2 linked regions of the Ovis aries genome follow. The main gene of each other region encodes a partner of the protein of the gene in region 2 in a complex. Links are inferred from orthologs where the notes say so. Each region holds a gene or a part of one and is shown on either strand. Other genes may lie near its edges.

Region 1 (10,695 bases), on a different chromosome or scaffold from region 2:
TGGGACTAGCAGAAAGAGACTTGGAAAAAAAAAAAAAGAAATTAAGGAAAAAAAGAAAGAGACATGGGAAGGCTCTCAGGCTCTCCAGCCTCTCGTGTCAGCAGAAGCTAGCAGTTAAAGAGCACAAGCTCTGGAGTCAGCTTCGGTCTCAGCCCCTCTTCTTGGCTGGTCACTCAGGGTAGGTGCCTTAACGTCTCTGTGCTCCCGTGTTCTGATCCACCTCATGCTGGTGTGAAGGATACAGGGGTGCTCTGAACAGTGCCTGGGGGAGAGTGAGTCCTCACCATGCGCTGGCTGGTCTCCACTCAAGGCTCCTTTTGGAATGGAACACGAATGTCCTCCCTTAATCAGTGTGGGCGCATCACACGAAGATGCTTTGATTTTCAAGATGAATGTGGCTGGGCCTAATCCTCAATCACGGGGCCTTAGACTGAGAAGCACCAGACATGGAAGCATCCCCAGGGTGTTGGGAAAAGTTCAGAGATGAGAATCCAGCTTGTGGGTGGAGGTTGGGAAGTGGCTGCGGCAGTGCCGCCTGGAGTGCTCCTGGGGAGGGCCAGGGAGCTCCTGGCGCTCTGGTCCCTCTCAGAAGTGGTCACTGCCGCAGGCAAACAAGCTGGATTGTCTGTTAACAACTGTGATTTTCTGTCACCTCAGGCCTGGCCTCAGGCCTCTCTGCTGCCTGGCATGCCCCTGAGATTTCTGCTCAGCTAAGAATCAGCCTTTGCTGCCGTGCTGTGTGGGGATGGTCTGACCTCTGCTGTCCACGCTCTGTCATGGCACAAACTCAGACACAGTCATGGACTCAGAGGATGCATTTTCTTTTTTCAGCTTTCTGGATAGTGACTCCCAATATTAACATATTTTACACTGTGACAGGGCTTCCCAGGCGGTGCTGTGACAGGGCTTCCCAGGCGGTGCTAGTGGTAAAGAACGCTCCTGCCAATGCAGGAGATGTTGAGAGATCCGGGTTCAATCCCTGGGTTGGGAAGATTCCCTGGAGGAGGACGTGGCAACCCACTCCGGTGTTCTTGCCTGGAGAATCCCATGGACAGAGTCCATAGGGTTGCAAAGAGTTGGACACGACTGAGGAAACTTAGCACACTGTGACAATACAGAAAAATTTCACAAAGCAATTCTTACCTTTACTATGTGTGAACACTCTAATATATTCTATATTTTCTATTTTTTATTTCATGAGTAAGAAAAATGCTGATTACAATACAATAAATAGACCTTACAGTCCCAGGCTTTCTCATGCATCTAAAAAACCATTCACTTAGGGAACTAAATTAGTGCCTCATTTCCCAAACACTAATCAGTGCGTTCCATATCACTTTCAAATTTTTGGCCACACTGAAGGCCGACTTTTTATGGAATCTATTTTTTCTTTAAATCAATTCATTTAAACATTTAAAAATGCCCACTATAGCTGAAGTAAAATATTGGTGAAATAACAAGTATGAATGTTAGTTATATACATATTATATATATGTATATAATACATTTATATTTATATTATATATAATTCACTATTAAAATTCAACATTCAAAAAATGAAGATCATGGCATCTGGTCCTATCACTTCATGGCAAATGGATGGGGAAAAGAGTAGAAACAGTGACAGATTTTATTTTGTTGGGCTCCAAAATCACTGTGGACAGCAACTGCAGCCACAAAATTAAAAGACACTTGCTCTTTGGAAGAAAAGCTATGACAAACCTAGACAGAGCATTAAAAAGCAGAAACATCACTTTGCCGACAAAGGTCCAGCTGGCTTTTCCAGTAGTCGTGTATGGATGTGAAAGTTGGACCATAAGGAAGGCTGAGCGCCAAAGAATTGATGCTTTTGAACTGTGGTGTTGGAGAAGACTCTTGAGAGTCCCTTGGACAGCATGGAGATCAAACCAGTCAATCCTAAAGGAAATCAATCCTAAATATTCATTGGAAGGACTGATGCTGAAGCTGAAGCTCCAATACTTTGACCACCTGATGCAAAGAGCCAACTCTCATTGGAAAAGACCCTGATGCTGGGAAAGACTGAGAGCAGGAGGAGAGGGAGCGACAGAGGATGAGATGGTTATATAGCATCACCGAGTCAATGGAGTTTGAGCAAGCTCTGGGAGATGGTGAAGGACAAGGAAGCCTGGCGGGCTGCAGTCCATGGGGTTGCAAAGAGACACAATTTAGTGACTGAACAAAAGAAAAACACTGAAATAAATATTTAATTATCAAAATAAAAAATGTTCTCATACCTCCTAAAATCACCCTGAAGCAGTGTCTGCATTCCTCACTTTGGGAATCACATATTCAAAGATTGGTCCAAACATCTCATTTTCAGTGGGGGCAGTGAGGCCCAGAGGGATGAATTCACTTATTGGAGGTCTAGTTTCTCAGTCAGTGGGAAGGTCAGTCTGGTCAGAGGAGAGAAAAGAGAAAATAAAGGAATCAGTGTTATCAGTCTTAACATTTTTGGAGAGAGGCCCTACCCTGTCATCTCATCGGAGCCCAGATATCAGTGTGGAGCTACCTTGGCAGAGCCATTTTAAGCCTGGATCTTAGATATTCTTATCTTTGGAGGTCCTGATCCATATCACATCATATATATTACAAGGTGTGCCCATTGACCCTTATTAATTTCAATTTTGCTATTTTCTTCTACTTGTATTTTGAAGCCAATGGATTTTTGAAGCTTCAACAATTTTTGGCAGGTCCTAGGATTACAGCCTGCCATGCCTAATGGATAAAGTGGCCCTGGGACTGGTAAAGAATCTCATCAGAGACACACTAAAGAACGATTTAATTATTCTAGCCCTTTCTCCTGGTATCTTTAACGGGTAATGTGGACAGGCCACTGACAACTAAATGGATGAGTTTCCAGTGGTGAAATCTTTGCTGTTCTGCGAGTCCAGTGGGGGCAGTGCTGCTGCAGGTAGGCTAAGTGCCATGTGACTGGTAAGGTGCTCCCACTCTGTGCCTCAGTCTCCTTATTAAGTAAAACAAACGGATTAGATTCCAAGAGAGTCAATCATCTAGAAATCAAGTTCTTGGCTTCTTCACAGTAACCTTTCAACCAGTTTTCCACGTACGACTAATAAGCAGATCAGGAGCATTTATTGCAGAAAGGTCTAGAAGGGTATACACCAAGTTACTGACACGAATTATTACCAGAGGAGGAAAATGGAAAGCAATGATGACAGATTCTTTACACATCTTGAATTGTTTCACTTGTTATATTAAGCACATTATCACTTTGTAATGAAAACATTAATAAAGAACAGTTAAAGAAAAGCAACCACTTTGCTCATTTAAAAACACTGATAAAGAGTGTGTATCTAATGCACATGGTCTGTTACTTTAAAAAGAGTGAGTAAGTTCACCAGAAACTAAAATTCCAAAGTCTAAATATTAATCTATACCAGACGTTTGATGAAGCAGAAGCATCAGGGGTGCCTCTGGGGTTTTATGACATTCCCCTGGCCTGAATCCTATTCTGGTGCACTCCCCTGTAATTAAATGAATTAATGTGAGTAATGAATCACAGTGCCTGCCAACAGCAAGTACTCTATCTCCCAATGAGGTCCCATAGAATCCAGGTCTTTACATACTGCTAAATGGGATAAATAGCACATATTGTTGAAAGCAGGGATGTCCCTTCATCCCCAGTCAAAGCCGCCTTGAATGGCTCCACTTACTAATCTGTTAAGATTTGCTGATCTAGGGGGTAGCCCTGACCTGCCTTCAGTTGTTGCTAACCAGGTTAACTTAGAAAAACTAGGTACTGGTCAGCATATTCTCTATCACATCACCTGTTTGTTTCCTTCGAAGTGCTCATCACAACAGAAAACTCTTGTTTGTCATCTGTTGTCTGCCTTTTCACTAGAGTATAAGCTCCCCAAGGGCTAGGACCTTGTTTGCCTTGTTCACTGCTATAGCCCAAATGCACGCCCGGCACCGAGTAGATGCTCAATAAATATTCCTCCCCTGCACCTCCTCAAATCACAGGTCAGGTTTCCTTTCCAAGATTATTCTTGATTGTTGAGGTCGACCTTCACTTTTCCCTTTGAACTACATGTGACCTCTATTAAAACCTGTGTGTATGGCTACCAGGCACAAAGACTTGGCATAAAGAGAAATATATTGAAACATAAACACAAGCCAAGTAATTAATTAAGGAAAGTCTGTTGCTTGCAACTCAGGTTTGCAGCTGGCATATAATTCCACTGATTATGATTTGTTTGCTCCTTGTCCCTAAGTTTGAAGCAGCCAAGGTCATTCAGTGAGTGAGTGATAGTCGCTGAGTTGTGTCGAGGTCTCTGTGACCCCATGGATTGTAGCCTGCCAGGCTCCTCTGTCCATGGAATTCTCCAGGCAAGAATACTGGAGTGGGTAGCCATTTCCTTCTCCAGGTTTGAAGCAGCCAAGGTTATTTAAAGGGCCCCCAATTCAAAACTCACCTGCCTTGGAGGCTCAAACAGTCTCTTTTCCATCAGCTTAACACATACAGTATCTAGAGCCTAAAAACTTTTTATGCTGGCTTCAAATTAAAATAGTTCACTGGGTCAAAGGCTTGCCTTTGGTCCAAGGTGCAGGAGGGTCAATGAATGTTGGCTAAATCCCGAAACCGCAGCTTGGCTCTTTCTTAAATTGATCTGTGGACTGTTTCCAGGAAACCAAAGATGATCGGTCCACCTGGCAGCAGGCAGGCTGCGAACTGGAGGCGATTCTGCCCTGGCCAAGGGCCATGGCCCCCTCGTGGCCCCGAGGAAGGCAGCATTTCATCGGGCCTTTTGGATGTTATGGCGGGCGGCTGGCTTCTCCCGCCGCGGCGTGCTCTCCACGCGGTGCACAGACGTCTCCACCCGCAGGGACGAGGCCCTGACGTGGCGGGAAGCCGTCTCTGTGAGCTGCGAGGCGGTTTCCACGTGCTGGGAGGACACCTCGAGGACTCGAGGGAGCCGCTTCCCAGAGGAGGAGACGGAGGGTCCCTCGCTGCTGCGCTGGGTGGTCTCCACCTGCCGGGAAGATGTCCTCACGTGACGGTAGGATGTCTCCACGCGGTGGGACGAGGTCTCCACGCTGACCGTCGCCGTCTCCTCGGAGCGGATGGATTCCGCCCGGGCCGGAGAGGGCTTTCCCCGAAGGGGTGAGGCCATCTTATGGGGGTAACAGGGCCAAGCTGACCTTTGGAGGCCCCACAGCCCCACAATCCCCGAAGGATTATTTTATACGGTGAGGAGCGACGTCACATGCCATTGTGATGCAGGCAGAGCGGTGGTCGAGGGTCCCGCGAACCACGTGGAGGCACCGTGATCTTGGGGCGGGGAGGCCTAAGATTCCTTGGGAACGCTGGGTTCGTCCCCTCGAGAGCGCCGTCTGCCCCCGCATCGCCCCTTAGCCTGTCAAGAACCTGTCCGGGTGGAGGCGGGGTTGGGGCGGGGCGGGCCCTGGATGGGCGGAGCCACCCGCCCCCTTGCGAAGCTGTGCCCACCCCCGCATCCCACACTGCCCCGCGGCAGGAAGGGGACGCTGCGACTTCCGGACCTTCCCTGTTTCTCCGATCCTGGCTGTGTGGGGTTGCTGGGGACTTAAGAGTGTCTGCTGGTGATGGCCGCGGCCGTCGCTATGGAGACAGGTGAGTAGCGCTCTGAGCCTCGCGTTTTGTCAAATAGAAACTGTCCCGGGTCCAGACACCTGCTTCCCGGGATTTTTTGAGAATCCAGGCCCAACTCCCGGCAGAGTGAGTGATCGGAGCGGGAGGCACCAGGGTTTTTTTTTAGCGACTGGAAGGGCGAAGGTAATTTGGCCTTTTCAGAGTTTGTTTTGTTGGCCGATCCTTTCTCCCCGTTAGTTATTCAAACAGTGGCCCCACCGGCTTCCAGAAGACTAAAGGAGAGATTTTGGATCATAAACCGCTTCCTCGAGTTGTTTTTTTGCATCTCAGATGAGCTTGCCTAAGTTTAAAATATCGTCAGCGAACTCTTGTATTACTGTGCCACTAACGGGTCTCACGTAAGCACGCGTTTCTTGATACTCACCAGGGTCTCTTTCATCTTGCATTCTGAACGTCTCTTGATGGATTTAGCATTTTGTTTTTGCTAAGCTTGATCACTTAACAGCTTGTAACGCACTATCAAAATAAGGCAAGGCACATTGCTGCAGCTTATCCTAGTGATCACTGTGAAGTCCCAACATGGTGGCTCACGAGTGATTAATGTTCTGCTCCATGTATAATCTTGTTTTCTTTGATAATTTAACTTTAGATAAACCTTTTTTTTTTTTTTTTTTTCTTAATCAGGGCTTTGCTTTCCTTAGACTTATAAGGAAGGTGTTTCTCCTCCTACACCCAGTTTAGGAAAACCTTTGCATGCTCTTCTTTATGTAACTCAGCATTAGTCAGATGTCTGTACTGCTGTTTTCTGTCTAAAAATCAGTATTATATACAGTGACATTTATTTTGGATGATTTTGCTATCTTCTCTCCTAGATGATGCTGGAAATCGACTGCGGTTTCAGTTGGAGTTGGAATTTGTACAGTGTTTAGCCAACCCAAATTACCTTAACTGTAAGTTGTTGAGCACCTCATTGAAGTGAATAGCTAGTTACGATTTCTGATAGAAGAGTCAAAATTCATAGTACTGTCAGCCCTTTGTATCCTTGGAGGCAACCTCAGTTGGTGGAATCTGCCCATCCTGAGGGTGACAATACTGTCATGGCACTATGTTGTTTTGTACAGGAGATTGGAGCACCTGTGGATTCTCGTGTCTGCGGGGCCTCTTAGAACCAACTCCCTGTGGATTCTGAGAGATGACTTTAGTATCTAGTTTTGTACATTCTTAACTGAATGGAATGACTGTTGCACTTATACTGGTATATATAATTGAGCAAACTGGGACTTCTGTTTTGAATTCAGTGTGTGTTGGTGGTGGGAATGTTATGTAAGTAAATTCTTTACGATTATGTTAGTCACAGATCAGTAGTCCAAGGACTGGTGTGCTCTACAGATGTATTTTTTTTTTTTTTTTTATGCCTTTCAGTTCTTGCCCAAAGAGGTTACTTCAAAGATAAAGCTTTTGTTAATTATCTTAAGTACTTGCTTTACTGGAAAGAACCAGAATATGCCAAGTATCTAAAGTAAGTTTAATTTTTATAGTCCTAAACATGTGTGTACTTTTATTATATTCCAAAGCACTGATATTTAATAGACTTCTTACTTTCACGTTGGAAAAAATACCTGTTGAATCTCTGCTCTCCTTTCAGTTGCCTCCATTTTAATACGAGACACATCATCTCTAACTTAACTGGGATTACTGCAGTATCTACTCATTGGTATTCCTCCTTTCTCCCTGCCCTGCCAAACAAAGAAGAAACATTTTCTGCACAGAAGCCAACTTGGTCTCTTAAAAATAGAAATTACATTCCATTAGAACCCTTTGGTCGCTTCCCATTGCATGCAGAAGAAAATCTCGTCTCTTAGCCCTGTGTGATCTGTCCCTGTCTTCTCTGACCTTATCTTGTACCACTCCCTGCATCTCACTGAGTTTCTGACCTCAAGGAACCCGCAGTCCATATATGCAATGACAGCCATAGCCTGAAAATGAAAAAACATAGAAAGAGGTACTTACTTGTAAGCAAGGGTTTCTGGAGAAGGTAACCGTACCCGAGTCTTAATAGCTGCTTTCTTATTTTATATATCTTACATAATAAATACATGAATTTATCATTCAGGTTGTGCAATAGATACTCTCGTTTTAAGGCTTACTGAAATGCAAGGAGCATATTGTAATCACAAACATTTCTTTTTAATGATAAAAAATAAGCCTTGAACACCCACCTCTGCTTTGTCTTAAATAGGTAGTCAAAAAGCAGTGGTGAAATGTCTAGCCTTTTTTTTCCCCTAAACAGACACAAGTTTGAGAGGAGAATGTTTAAGACTTGTACTTTGGCCAAGCCACTTTTCTCTGTCTAATAACAGCTGCTTTATGAAGTCCACATCCTCCTTTTGCCTGTGGGACCCTTTCCACCCTTACTGGCCCTTTATAAAAGAACCACTTATTCATTTAATAATCCAGAGAAAATATATATATTTTTTTACTAGATTGCAACATGTTATATGTATGTATTATAGACTTAGAGACTCAGTGTTGGACACTGAGCCCTGGACACCGTCAGGTTCAATTTTACCCACAACATTGCTGAGATGGTCATCTGTATACTGGCTGGAGGTTTCTAGTGAACACATACTAATTCAGGGGCAGCCAATTCCGTTGTTAGCTAGATTCCAGAAAGTTCCTCCTTGTATTATTGTGTCCGACTCTTTGCAACCCCATAGATTGTAGCCTACCGGGCTCCTCTGTCCATGGGATTTTCCAGGCAATAGTACTGGAGTCGATTGCCATTTCCTTCTCCAGGGGATATTCCCAACCCAGGGCTTAAACCCAGGTCTCCCACATTGTAGACAGATGCTTTACCGTCTGAGCCACCAGGGAAGTCCTATAACATGATATACCTCTATGTAACTTTAACTCATGTTTTGAGTTTTGACCCTGAATTAATCCAGAACCAATCTATGCCTTCTTGAAGAATAACCATTCAGATATTTAAATTTAAGAGAGGCTGCAAATTAACTCCCATTTCATTTCTACACAAGGTTTTTGTTTAGTAGTTGTCAAAATTTAAAGATTGGAGAGTTTCATATTTTGATTCAGATTTCTAAGCTTCTCTTTAAAAATTTGGAAGATCTGATAACCCCAGGTCTTTGTTTTCCCAGGTCAGTCATTGGCTAGAGCAGAGCAGCAGCTACCTCTTCTAGACAATGTCCTCCACCATTTCACTAATAGCAACGACCTGCAGCTGTAATTTATCTCTTACATTCAAGGATTCACAATGTTGATTTTCTGGTGGCTCAGACTGTAAAGCAATGGCACCCCACTCTAGTACTCCTGCCTGGGAAATCCCATGGGCGGAGGAGCCTGGTGGTAGGCTGCAGTCCATGGGGTCGGAAGAGTTGGACACGACTGAGCGACTTCACTTTTACTTTTCACTTTCATGCATTGGAGAAGGAAATGGCAACCCACTCCAGTGTTCTTGCCTGGAGAATCCCAGGGACGGGGGAGCCTGGTGGGCTACCATCTACGGGGTCGCACAGAGTCGGACACAACTGAAGTGACTTAGCAGTAGCAGCAGACTGTAAAGCATCTGTCTACAATGCGGGAGACCTGGGTTCAGTGCCTGGGTTGGGAAGATTCCCTGGAGAAGGAAATGGCAATCCACTCTAGTACTCTGGCCTGGAAAATCCCATGGACAGAGGAGCCTGGTAGGCTACAGTCCATGGGATCGCAAAGAGTTGGACACGACTGAGCGACTTCACTTTCACTTATGTCAGCTAAAATCCTTCAGTTCTCATTTTCATCAGTGCTGTTAGTTGAGTTCTCCATTTATTTCTCATTTGTTTTTTAAAAAAATCTAAATGCAAACTTTGCTTTTGTATCTCTATTTCGTCTTGTTGGTTGATGCTATAATTGTCACCTATTAAAATATTTATAGTCCCTTATTTTGAGCATGGTCTTCTCCAAGTCTTATAAGTGATCACTGTATGTCTAAGTTCCAGTTATTGAGAAGTAGCATTTGCTACTTGAAGACAGTCCTCTTGGTTATCACATTAATTTATTTTACGGAGGAAGAAACTAATCCTTAAGAAAGGTTAAGTACCCTGTTCAAGGACACCCAGCTGTAGAATGGGCAGAGCTGGTTTCAAACCTAGGTCTTTGTTGATAGAACATCCTCATGAGAAGGAAATAGCTAGAGTAGATGTGAGTAGGGCTTTCCAGGCTTCAGTTCAGTTCAGTCGCTCAGTCGTGTCCGACTCTTTGTGACCCCATGAATCGCAGCACGCCAGGCCTCTCTGTCCATCACCAACTCCTGGAGTTCAATCAGACTCACGTCCATCAAGTCAGTGATGGCATCCAGCTGTCTCATCGTCTATTGTCCCCTTCTCCTCCTGCCCCCAATCCCTCTCAGCATCAGAGTCTTTTCCATTGAGTCAACTCTTCGCATGAGGTGGCCAAAGCTGCTGACAATTACAAGCAACTATGTATCTCTGGAGTATAGGAAGCAAATGTTCAATAAGGAAACATTGTGTTGGGGCCTGCTGTTGTCCTCAGACCAGCAGCATTGAATGCAGAGCTCAGGCTCCACTCCAGATTGATGACCTGGTTCAGCTGGTGGCTGCTAGTTTTCTCTGTATCAAATTACTTGTTCTTCGCTTTGTATTTAATGCCTATCTTGTGAGGGAATGCTTTGAGACGGTAAATATAGTGTTTCATATTTCAGTTTTTTACCTAACTTTGGCAATCTATGGAAAATACTTGCTTGAAAGCTTTTTCTGTGATTTTCTAATTCCATAATTCTTTATTCATTTGTTAGTTGAAATTCAGTTGTAAGGACAGAATATTTCCTTGTTCCTAATTTATTTATTCATTTTATAAAGTTACATCAGTATGGACTCCTGGATTCTTTATCTTATGGGTTATAATTATGTATCTTCTTGAACTAGTGATCCTGGATACAGCCAATGGGAACACCTTCAAACTGGCTCCTGTGTACTTTCAACAAATCCCTATATTTTTTGAGCATTTTTCTTTCTGCCACTATGTAATAGTCCAGGCTCATCTTTTACTTTCCCTGTGTTAGCCGT
Region 2 (10,682 bases):
ATTATCTTCCTTATTTGTGTCTGTATTTAATTTTTTTCCACAACAAACACGTGCTACCCGTACAAAAGGTAAAAGCTATCTATCATCTACCAAATTTAAACAAAACACTGTCATATATTTGCTCCAGTTGGTGATGAGTCCATCCCAAATTAGTAGGGTAGTACGGTAAAGAATCAGAATGGGAGACATTTCTCCTTACGCTTTTATTACTGCACAATACAAACTTGGTCTCTATTTTACAAACCTTATACATAAAAAGTTTTCTTCCCGAAAGCTACTTTAGTCCAATTTCCCTTCTTCCTGCAGAAGGATGATCTAGATTCTCCACGTTATTCTTAGCATTTAAGATAGAAAAAAAAAAAAAAAAATAAGATAGAAAGCCTGTCACAAAAGTGAACTGGCCATATGAGGAAATCAGTGCAAAAACAACTGAGTTCTCACTGGCTTCCATCCTGAGGGAAGAATGCATGGCTGGCAGTGGTGAAATGGGGCAATTATAACATCTTTTCTTGTAACAGCTGAGGGCAAGCCCCAGTGGACAGATTGTCTTAGTCACATGAGCCTTTTGGGGTCTATTTTCTCGAGGTGAACCAGAGGTTTCAGCTGCTCTGCAAAGTTCCTCATGTCATCAGAGACCATGTCCTGCCCAGCTGGTGCAACAACGCTTAGTTCCACGAGATAGGACAGTGACAAGGCCTCAGTGTTGTCTGTGTTCCCTGGCACCAGGATGCGGAAGATCTTGTATACCACGATCTTCATGATGCCTTTCCGGAACAAGTGTCCCCTGGCAACAAACTCGTGGTCCATGCGAAAGCCCATTTCCATGAGGAAGTCAGTGAGGTTCTCAGATGTTGCAATGTCTACGCAGTTACGCACCAGGGCATGGCGGTTCTTGTCTCCCATCTCTGGCTGTCCCAGGTAGCGAAGATGCCAGGGTGCCCCTGCCCTATCCAGAGAGCGTCGGGCCCTTAGAACAAATGGACTGGCCTGCTGGCCCTTAAGGAGGAATACCATCTCGTGGTCAACAAAAGTCTCGGGTTCCATGTTGTCACATAAACCACGAAGGCGGTGGATGAGGCTTTCCAAGCTGTGATCTAAAACACTTCCTGAAGAAGGAAAAAAGCACTATTGAGTTCCATCTTTCATTTTGGGTAATGGAATTAGCAAGAGACTGAAAAAACTTAAATGAAAAACCAAAATAATTTAGTGCAGTGTTTTGTAAACCATAGGCCCAATATATGAGATTGTAGGAGGTTACACTGCCAAGATATTATGTTAATCTCTTTTCAATTTTTTGTACTGTTTTATTTGGTACTAGAAGTTAGGCCTTGTTTAGTAATGCTAACCTCTAGCAGACTTTGGGGTTTAACAGGCAACAGTATCTACCTAGAATAATTATTTTATTCCATTCTATTATAAAATAATATATATTATTTTATATAAGACAAAAAATACTAAATAAAACAGCATGTGTGTGTGTTAGTTGCTCAGTCGTGTCTGACTCTGCAACCTCATGGACTGTAGCCTGCCAGGTTCCTCTGTCCATGGGATTTTGCAGGCAATACTAGAGTGGGTGGCCATTTTCTTCTCCAACAGAATAGTGTATTTCCCTGCAATCTCTTTTCACTTTCCCGCTTTATTTTTCTTTAGCTTATCACCTCAACTCTTTAGTCATCTTTTAACATATCAGTGTATTGACTTTTTAATAATTTTTCTTTCTCTACTGCTGATACTCCAATGTGAGAAACATATTCCTTTATTGACTAAATCTGTTAAAGTAAATAAAAATATACTACTATAACTACAGTAAATATTGGCAGTGGTATTCAAATGACTAAATTTTTGGAAAAGCAACAGAGTGGGTCCCAGTTATCAAAGGACAGAAGATCACAAGAGTAGGGAGTAGGTCCTACATTCAGAACAGTGTCAGCCATGTGTTTTTTCATTCTTCAAACATTTAAGGAGCTTTGTTAAGTGCTGGTTCATACACTTACACTTACTGAATGGCACCATGCTAAGAAGTAGGGGGCCTGGCCTGCCCAGAGATTATAGTTTAGTGGGGGAAATGAAAAAAATAAGTAAACCAATAAACAAGAGATAAACGGGGTGTTGAATAGAGAGCAACCAGTATGGGTGGAGAAGAGGAGACCTCTTTGAGGGCTTGGAATAGTCAGAGAAGATCTCTAAGGGAATGACAACTGAGTTGAGGCCTGAGGAATAAATATGAGATGGCTATGTGAAGGGCTGGAACAAAGTATAGACGCCGGGGGATCAGAGGTAGCAAAGAGCTTGGGGAATCCAAAGAAATGAAAGTGTGGCTGAAGTATGGTAAGCAAGATGGAAGATGATCATGAAATGAGCATTTGGGATGGGCCAAAGCAGGCAGGACTTATGTGTCGCCCATGCTAAAGGCTGTATTTTATTGTACGGCCACTGGGCAGTTATTAGCTCCACACTTTATTCTCCATGCAACAAGGAAAGATATGACTGGATTTACATTTTAAAAAGATCATTCTAGGAAAATTGGTATGGATGCTTCAACCAGACAGGGTCACATGAAAAAAAGTGGCAATGAGGGGAGGCGGGTCCAAGTTAAAAAAGGCTTAAGAGACACGGTTTTCATATGTAATGCATGAGATGATATTATGCCCTGGATCAAAACACAAGATGGAGGAAACTTCTGAATATGAATTATATATTAGATGATATCAGAAATATACTATGACTCTTTCAGGTAATAATGATAGTATTGGGGTTATTAAGGAAAATACGCTTGCTTTTTTAGAGATGAATACTGAAAGTGTTTGGGGGTAAAATGTTACGAGATCTGAATCTGTCTTCAAAAACGGCAAAAGGAAAAAGATAGAGCAAATATGGCAAAAGGTCAGAAACAGACATCTAGATGACTAGATCTAGAAATCTAGGCTGACTGTTCACAGGAATTCCCTGGTCATCCAGTGGTTAGGACTTGGTGCTCCCAATGCAGGGGACCCAGGTTTCATCCCTGGTTCAGGAGCTAAGATCCTGCATGCCATGCTGCTGCTGCTGCTAAGTCGCTTCAGTTGTGCCCGACTCTGTGCAACCCCATAGACTCTATTTTCTTTTCTCTGAGATTGATTCCTGAATGCATGGCTTAAGCAACTGATGACTGACAGCGGCACTTACTGAGATGGGAAAGGCTGAAGTAGAGGCAGATTGAGGAGTGCAATTAACAATTTTATTTTGTCCATTGTAAGTTACTAAACGGATGATCTGAATTAAAGTCTAAATTCTTCCACTAAAGATTAAATGACCTCCAGAAAATCATAACCCTCCCTGGTCTTGAGCTTTCTCATCTGGGAAAGTTACTTCACTTCTATTTCCTGATCTAGAAGATGGAACTAATAACAGTATCATAACATTACCATATGATCTATTAATCTCACTTCTGGGCATTCACTCCTAAAGAATCCAAAGCAGGATCTTGAAGAGGTATGTGCACACTCATGTTCACTGAGTATTATCTATGATAACAATTTGGGTAGAAGCAATCCAAATGTCTGACAGACAAACGAATAAAGAAAATATGGTATGTACATACAGTGGAACATTATTCAGATTTTTAAAAGGAGATTCTCTTACATGCGAAAGGGTTAATGTTGAGGATATTATACTAAGTGAAATAAGCCAGTCATAAAAAGACACATACTGAATGCTTCCACTCCTATGAGGTTATCTAACGTTGTCAAAATTAGAAACATCAAGTAGAAAGGTTGTTGCCAAGGCCTACGGCAAGGGGAAAGGAGGAATTAGTGTTTAACAGGAATAGAATTTCAATTCTGCAAGATGAAAAAGTTCTAGAGATTAGCTATACAACAATGTGAAATACTTAACATTACTGAACTGTATGCTTAAAAATGTTTAATATGGTAAACTTAATGTTATGTATTTGTGACCATAATTAAAAGTAAATTGGGGAATAAAAGGGTGCCAGAAATTATGCAGGTAGCTTTTATATAACAGCCTCTCATCTCCATGGAAAGCGGAACAGAAAACAGGAAAACAGGTAATTCAAGCTCCCTAGTTCACTTACCCTGCAGCAGGTACTCCATCATGTTAATGGTGCCCCCGGTGACAGGCATCATGGTGACTGGAGGTGCCTCCATGTTTATCTGTTTAAGTTGAAAACGACAGAACTAGATTTGGAATCCCCAGTCAGGTAACACACAGGATACACCTGGGGAAGAGTTATACTTGTTAATACATGGGAGAGGCAGAGAGAGACCAGATCTGCTTGGGTCATTGGCCTGGAGATGAAAATTCATTCATCCACCCATTCAAAACTTTAGTAACTGCTATAGGCCAGTTTCAGGTGATCCAGAAATACACAAAGGAGGCCTGATCATGGAGTTACAGCATAATCTTTCAGTCTCAAGGTCTGAAACCCTTCAATGGTTTTCTGTGCACCCTGGGACTCAATGTCTTTCTTCTAAAATGAGGCCATGATATTAACCCCCAAGTCTTTGTGGCTCAGATGACATAATGGACCTGCAACTAAAGACTGAAAAGTGACTTAAGGACTCTTGTATGCCCTTCAATTTACAGATGAGGATGTTGAGGCTTGGGGAGGAGCCTAAGGACACACAATAGGTGGGTGGCAGAACCTATACCAGACTAAAATCTAGGCGTTCCACCTCTCTAAAAACCTTTTAAAGAGATTGAAGCGAAAGCACGAAGTTCTTTCCACTGATGCTTTGTGTTAGTCGTTCAGTCGTGTCCGACTCTTTGTGACCCCATCGACTTAGGCCTGGCTTCTCTATCCATGGGGCTTTCCAGGCAAGGATACTGGAGTGGGTTGCCATTTCCTTCTCCGGGGGAATCTTCCCAATTCAGGGATCAAACCCGGGTCTCCTGCATTGCAGGCGGATGCTTTACCGTCTGAGTTTACTAGGGAAGCCCCAATGATGCTTTAGGGCCTCCTAAACCCAGCATCAAAACGTGCCCACTTATACCAAAAACACACCGCCAAGCGCGTTCCAGCCTCTTCCAGGAAAGCGGGGGACCGTATTCACCCGAGCACCTCGGAGCTTTCGAGCAACAATCACCACCCCCAGCCCTAAACTTGAAAACCCCTAGGCAGTGCAACAATTCTCTCGCCTCTTCCCACGTCTGACAAAAACCTTTCGTCGCGCAAACCTCGACACCGCCACTCTGCGACGTAAGGGTGCCGAGAGGACAAAAAAAGTCTCTTCCGCTGTACGGCAAGCAGGGGCGCATGCGCAAACTCCGATGCTGCACGGAAGATGGCGGCCTCCTTAGGAGGGGTCCTTTGGGAGATTCAGGCGGCATTGCAGTCATACGCCATCTTCCAGGAAAATATTTTTTTCAACTGTGAAGACCTGGACGTGTTTTTGTCCAGGAAATCTCTTGGACCTGAAAGGACAAAGAGACCCTGGGGAAGAGAGCTTCAGAAAAAGAGGAGAGATTGTCGTAAAACAGAAACTTATTTTGGGTGGGTATCTGATGATAGAACTTCCCAGTTGCTCAGCGGTAATGAATCTGCCTGCAGGAGACACAGAAGCCTCTGGTTGGATCCCTGGGTCGGGAGGATCCCCTGGAGGAGGGCACGGCCGGAGGTTCACTCAGAACAGCTCCCGCTCCTAAGGAAGAGCTGCGCTTGGAGACTTTTGGTCCTCATCTGGCCCCTCCCTCCGGCCGGCGTGCGCGGCCCCGCGGGGCTGGGGTGGGGCCCACCTGCGCCTCCTGGGGGGCGTGCAACCCGCCTCAGTGGGACTCAGTCTCCTAACCACCGCCGCCGCCACACCTTACATCAGTTTGGCTTCTGATGTTTTCATTTCCCTTGCTGAGGTGCTGCTTCTGGGTTAAAGTCATCTTATTGCCTGTCCATTTGTAGACAGGACAAGGTCGCTCGAATAGATCAGGAGTCGAGCTCAGAGTGGGCTTCCCTGGTGGCTCAGATGGTAAAGCGTCTGATCCCCTGGAGAAGGAAATGGCAACCCACTCCAGTACTTTTGCCTGGAAAATTCCATGGCCGGAGGAGCCTGGCAGGCTACAGTCTATGGGATCGCAAAGAGTCGGACACGACTGAGCAACTTCACTCACTCCGGCTCAGAGTAGGTCAAAAGTACACACATGTTGGGAGGAGTGGGAATCAAAACAGAAGGAGGGTTGCCAAGTACAGCCAGGACTAGGTGTTCACCATGTATGCTTAATAAAGGCCAGAATCTCATCTGTCTCTGGTGGGAGGGTCTGTTGGTTTCACTGGATCGAATTCAACCGATCCGAACCAGTTTCATGGAATAAAACACTGGACTTCGGTGGCCACTGTTCCCATCAAGAAAGGATGGTCGCGTTTGGAAGTAAACATGTTGGAGAGCTGTAAACACCACAAACCTAAATACAGGTCACAAGGCTGAAACTGGGTCTAATCAGACCTGAAACCAAGGAAAAGAATTCGGCTTTTCCAGCTGGCTCTCCTATGAACTTTTGATGGTTTACTGCAGCTGGATTACAGGCACTTCCGAAGGTAGTGAGTCCTGTGGTGGGTCTTCCAGGCAGTTCTGGATAAGAGGCACTTTCCAGACTTCAAGACCGCAGAAGAAAAGTGCAAGAGTCAACTTTGAGTCAAGCTCAAAGGTAGTAGATCCAGGGACTGACAGATTAACCTACAAAAGTGACAAGAACAGTGGGAAAAACTAGCTGTTCTGCCCCAGGGGTGAGGGAAAATGTCTCAAATTGCAAACACTTACATCTATGATGCCCCAACAGACTTTATTGATTTTCAGTCAAATCATGACAAAGACACCGAAGGCATAGATTCTTCATTTGAGAAGGCCAGTTGGAGGATAAGGTACTGAGAACTGTGGAAAAACACCCTTTATCCTTTGATTCGCTGAAGAAAACACCAGTTACAGGAAGAAGAGAGAAGAACTGCAGACAGGTGAGGTGCCCTTCAGGTTCAAGGTGCACCCATTGCCTTAATTTGTCATCATTAATCTGTCAGAGAAGAAGGTGAAGAATACAACCAAGCCTGAAGGCCCAGATTCAGAATCCACAGCTGGAGGAAGAACTGAAACAGCAGAAAGCAGCAGCTTGCTTCGAGGGTAGTCCAAACACCACCATCTACCTCAAGCCCTTTTGTAGGGAAAGAGTAAATTAGCCAAGATGGCATGGTCAGGCCCTCTCTCTCTTGCCCCACATTTTGTAAATAATGATTATGTAACATCTGAGCTCATTTATAGCACTGCTCATGGGCATCAGGAGGTACTCACTTGGCCAAGGGCTTCTGTTTTTCTCTAAGCATGTGTGAGCTTTACCTGGAAAGCCCTGGTGGGCTATGTTATGGGTATGTGACGTTATGGCTGTTACTACGGCTGCTGATCAGCCAGGAGAAAGACTGCATTATGTTACATTATGGCTGTGTTATGGCCACCTTCTGGTTAGGTTAGGTTATGTGATGTTATGGCTGCCGCTACGGCTGCTGTGTCAGCCAGGAGAGAATAAAGGTGTCTGCAGTTCCTACTGCTCCTTGCATCTTCTTCCAGCCTCTTAGCTCGTGTCTTGCCTACTCTGGATTCAAAGAATAGTGCGGCACAGTGAGACACAGGCTGTAGCTCACCAGGCTCCTCTATCCATGGAATTTTCCAGGCAAGAATACTGGAGGGGGTTGCCATTTCCTACTCTAGGGGATCTTTCTGACCCAGGAATTGAACTCCTGTCTCCTGTGTCTTTTATATTGGCAGGCAGATTCTTTACCACTGAGCCCACCTGGGAAGTCCCTGCTAACCGTCAGACTGCCAGGGAATTCCCTTTTTAAACATTTTTAATGACATTTACTCAAATTTTACCTGGCATTTCAGAAGCGGCATTGAAAAAAAAGAATGAGTAAGAAACGGGTGGACAATATGGTAAAACTTGGACAAAGGCTCAGGAGTTATAGGGATGGGTTTCTGTATAAGGATGTGAGGCCTGGCGCTTAGAAGGGAGCTTGCTTCTGTCTTCTGTCGCTACCCAGCTGTGCAACCTTGGGCAATTCACTTCCCCTCTCTGAGCCTCAGCTTCCTTTGTTATAAAATAGAGTTAAAAATAGTACTTTCTGAAGCGGGGGAGGTTGTAAAAATAAAATGAGATGTTTATGAAACACAACATAGAGCCTGGCTTATTGTAAGCAATCAATAAATGATAGCTATTATTATTACACTTTATATCTCTCATTTGAGCAAACACATTCTATCTTAATGAATATATTTTGTGCATGTCTCATCCCCCAAAGTCAGAGAAGGCAATGGCACCCCACTCCAGTACTCTTGCCTGGAAAATCCCATGGATGGAGGAGCCTGGTGGGCTGCAGTCCATGGGGTCGCACAGAGTTGGACACGACTAAAGTGGCTTAGCAACAGCAGCATCCCCCAAAGTAGATTATAAACATCTTGAAGGGAGGAATCATGCATTTCCTTTTATATGTTTGTGTCTTAGACAGCTCAGGCTGCTGTAACAAAATATAAATGAAATGGCTTAGGAACAACAGAAATTTATTTTACATAGTTCTGGAGGGTGGACATCTGAGCTTAGGGTTCCAACATGATTGGGTTCTGATGAGCGCCCTCTTAAGGTTGCAGCTTGCCATCCTCTCCTTGTAGCCTCACATGGTGAAGACCAGAGAAAACTCCCTCTGAACTCTCATTAAGGGCACTAATCCCATTCACAGGGGCCCCCTTTCCTCTTGACCTCTTCTAACCCTAGCCATTTCCCAAAGGCCCTTGCTCCTAATACTGTCACATTGGCAGTAGTATTTCACCAATACCAGAAGTATTTCATTGGTAGGAGGGTTTCACCATAAGGATTTGGTGAGGGGGGACACAAACATTCTGTCTACAACAGTGTACTTTATAGGTAGTGGGTGTTCAAAACTGTTGAACACATCAAAATGACTACCAGTTATTGAACAGTTGCTATATACAACTTTACACTGTATGTGTGTAACTATGTCAAATACCTCCCAAAGGTAGCTATTACCATCTCCATTTTACAGAGGAGGAAAAAGAGGTTCAGAGAGGTGAAGTGACTTGCCCAAAGCCGAATCACCAGCAAATGGCAGGACTCAGATTCAAAATCAGTTCTTTCACTTATAAACCTATCTCTTTAGCATGCCTCCCTCTGAATTCATGGGCTCTTTCTCCACAGTGAATTTCCTCAATTATTGCAATTAATGGCACCAAAGAAGGAGAAAACGTCATACATTAATGCTTCCTAGCCCATCACTAGACTGGGCTCCAAGGAGTAAGACTAGCTCTTGGCCAGTCTTCATCAGAACAGCAGACCATCAACATGGATTGCAGGGTACACTTACCCATACACAGTTCCTTCATCAATTTTCTAGAATAGCCTGATATAAATTGACAGATCTATCTCTCTGTTATCTGAAATGCTAGGATATCAACCTTAGTGTTACACACTAGTTAATTTCCCTAGGAAAAGCTGCTTCCTGTGCACAGTCCTCAGGGAAATGTATAACTGCTCTTTTCAGCCTAGTTGTTTTCCACCATCCTTATAAGTTCATGCCACTTCTCAGAGTAAAAACCAAAGTTCTCACTATGCCTACATGGTCTGCCCTCATCACCTGTTACCTCTCTGACCATTTCCATCTGTGTCTGCCCCCGCTCCATTCACTCAGCTCCAATCACACTGTTCTCACTGGTCTTACTTGAACATGTCATGGAGCCTCCCATCTTAACTGTGGTACAGTCAATCTGGAGCGCTGCTTTTCTACTGAACTGCAGGATTCACTCTCTTGTTTCCTTTTGGTCTCCTCTCACATCTTTACTAGGCATGCCTTCCCTGAGCACCCATTTCAAATTGTAATCCACTATCCACCCTGTATTCCCTCATACACTGTTGTATTTTTCTTCACAGGACATTTGACTAGGTGATATACTGCCTATTTACCAATTACTTGTTTATTTTCTCCCTCCCCATTAAAATCACAAGTTCCATGAAAGCAGAGTTTTATTTACTACAGTATTCCCAGCTCCCAGAATGATGCCTGGCATAGTGCATAAACTTAATAAATACTACTTTTTTTGAGAGAATGATTTGAAGAGAACAGAGGTTACTAGATGCTTTTCTTGGTCTCCTAAATTTAGTCCGCCCTGAATTCAGCAGGAGAACCTAAGTCCTTAAATTCCAAACGGGAAACACTGCATCTTTCTTCTAGGTATGTGTTGTCTAATATGACAACAGTGAACCACATGTGGTTATTAACCACTTGAAAAGTGCCTAGTTCAAATTGATTTAAGCTCCCAGTGTAAGATACACATTGGACTTTGAAGACTTAGTATGAACTATATCGATAATTTTATATATTGATTACATGTTGAAATTATATTTTGGATATTTAGTGTTTAATAAAATAAATGATTAAATTTAATTTCACTTGTTTCTCATTTTTTACAGTGTGGCTAGAATATTAAAAATTGCATATGTGACTCACATTCTATTCCTATTGGACAGCACTGCTGTAGGATCTAGATTTGAAGATATGGATTTAAAGCCTGACTGATCTAGGTTTGAATCTTGGCTACTGTTTACATGGCCTTAGGCAAGTTATTTACATTCCTAGGCCTTCAGCAGTGCCTGGCACATACTGTGTATTGTAGGTATGCAATGAATCAGAGCTATCATTA

Evidence for each region.
Region 1: MED18 (region 2) and MED31 share a complex: the UniProt entries of both Homo sapiens proteins name them as parts of the mediator complex. The link is inferred for Ovis aries from reciprocal best matches to the Homo sapiens genes MED18 and MED31.

What each region holds. Positions count from the first base shown.
Region 1 is NC_056064.1:25,110,795-25,121,489, forward strand, and holds the start of MED31 (mediator of RNA polymerase II transcription subunit 31), read left to right. Parts: upstream 1-5,540; 5' UTR 5,541-5,607; coding exon 5,608-5,635; intron 5,636-6,486; coding exon 6,487-6,564; intron 6,565-7,036; coding exon 7,037-7,133; intron 7,134-10,695. Other genes in the region: C11H17orf100 (uncharacterized protein C17orf100 homolog), read right to left, coding at 4,779-5,156. UniProt on the Homo sapiens protein: Component of the Mediator complex, a coactivator involved in the regulated transcription of nearly all RNA polymerase II-dependent genes.
Region 2 is NC_056055.1:238,801,411-238,812,092, forward strand, and holds the start of MED18 (mediator of RNA polymerase II transcription subunit 18), read right to left. Parts: upstream 5,151-10,682; 5' UTR 5,003-5,150; exon of another isoform or gene 4,992-5,002; intron 4,217-4,991; exon of another isoform or gene 4,152-4,216; 5' UTR 4,146-4,151; coding exon 4,073-4,145; intron 1,107-4,072; coding exon 553-1,106; 3' UTR 1-552. UniProt on the Homo sapiens protein: Component of the Mediator complex, a coactivator involved in the regulated transcription of nearly all RNA polymerase II-dependent genes.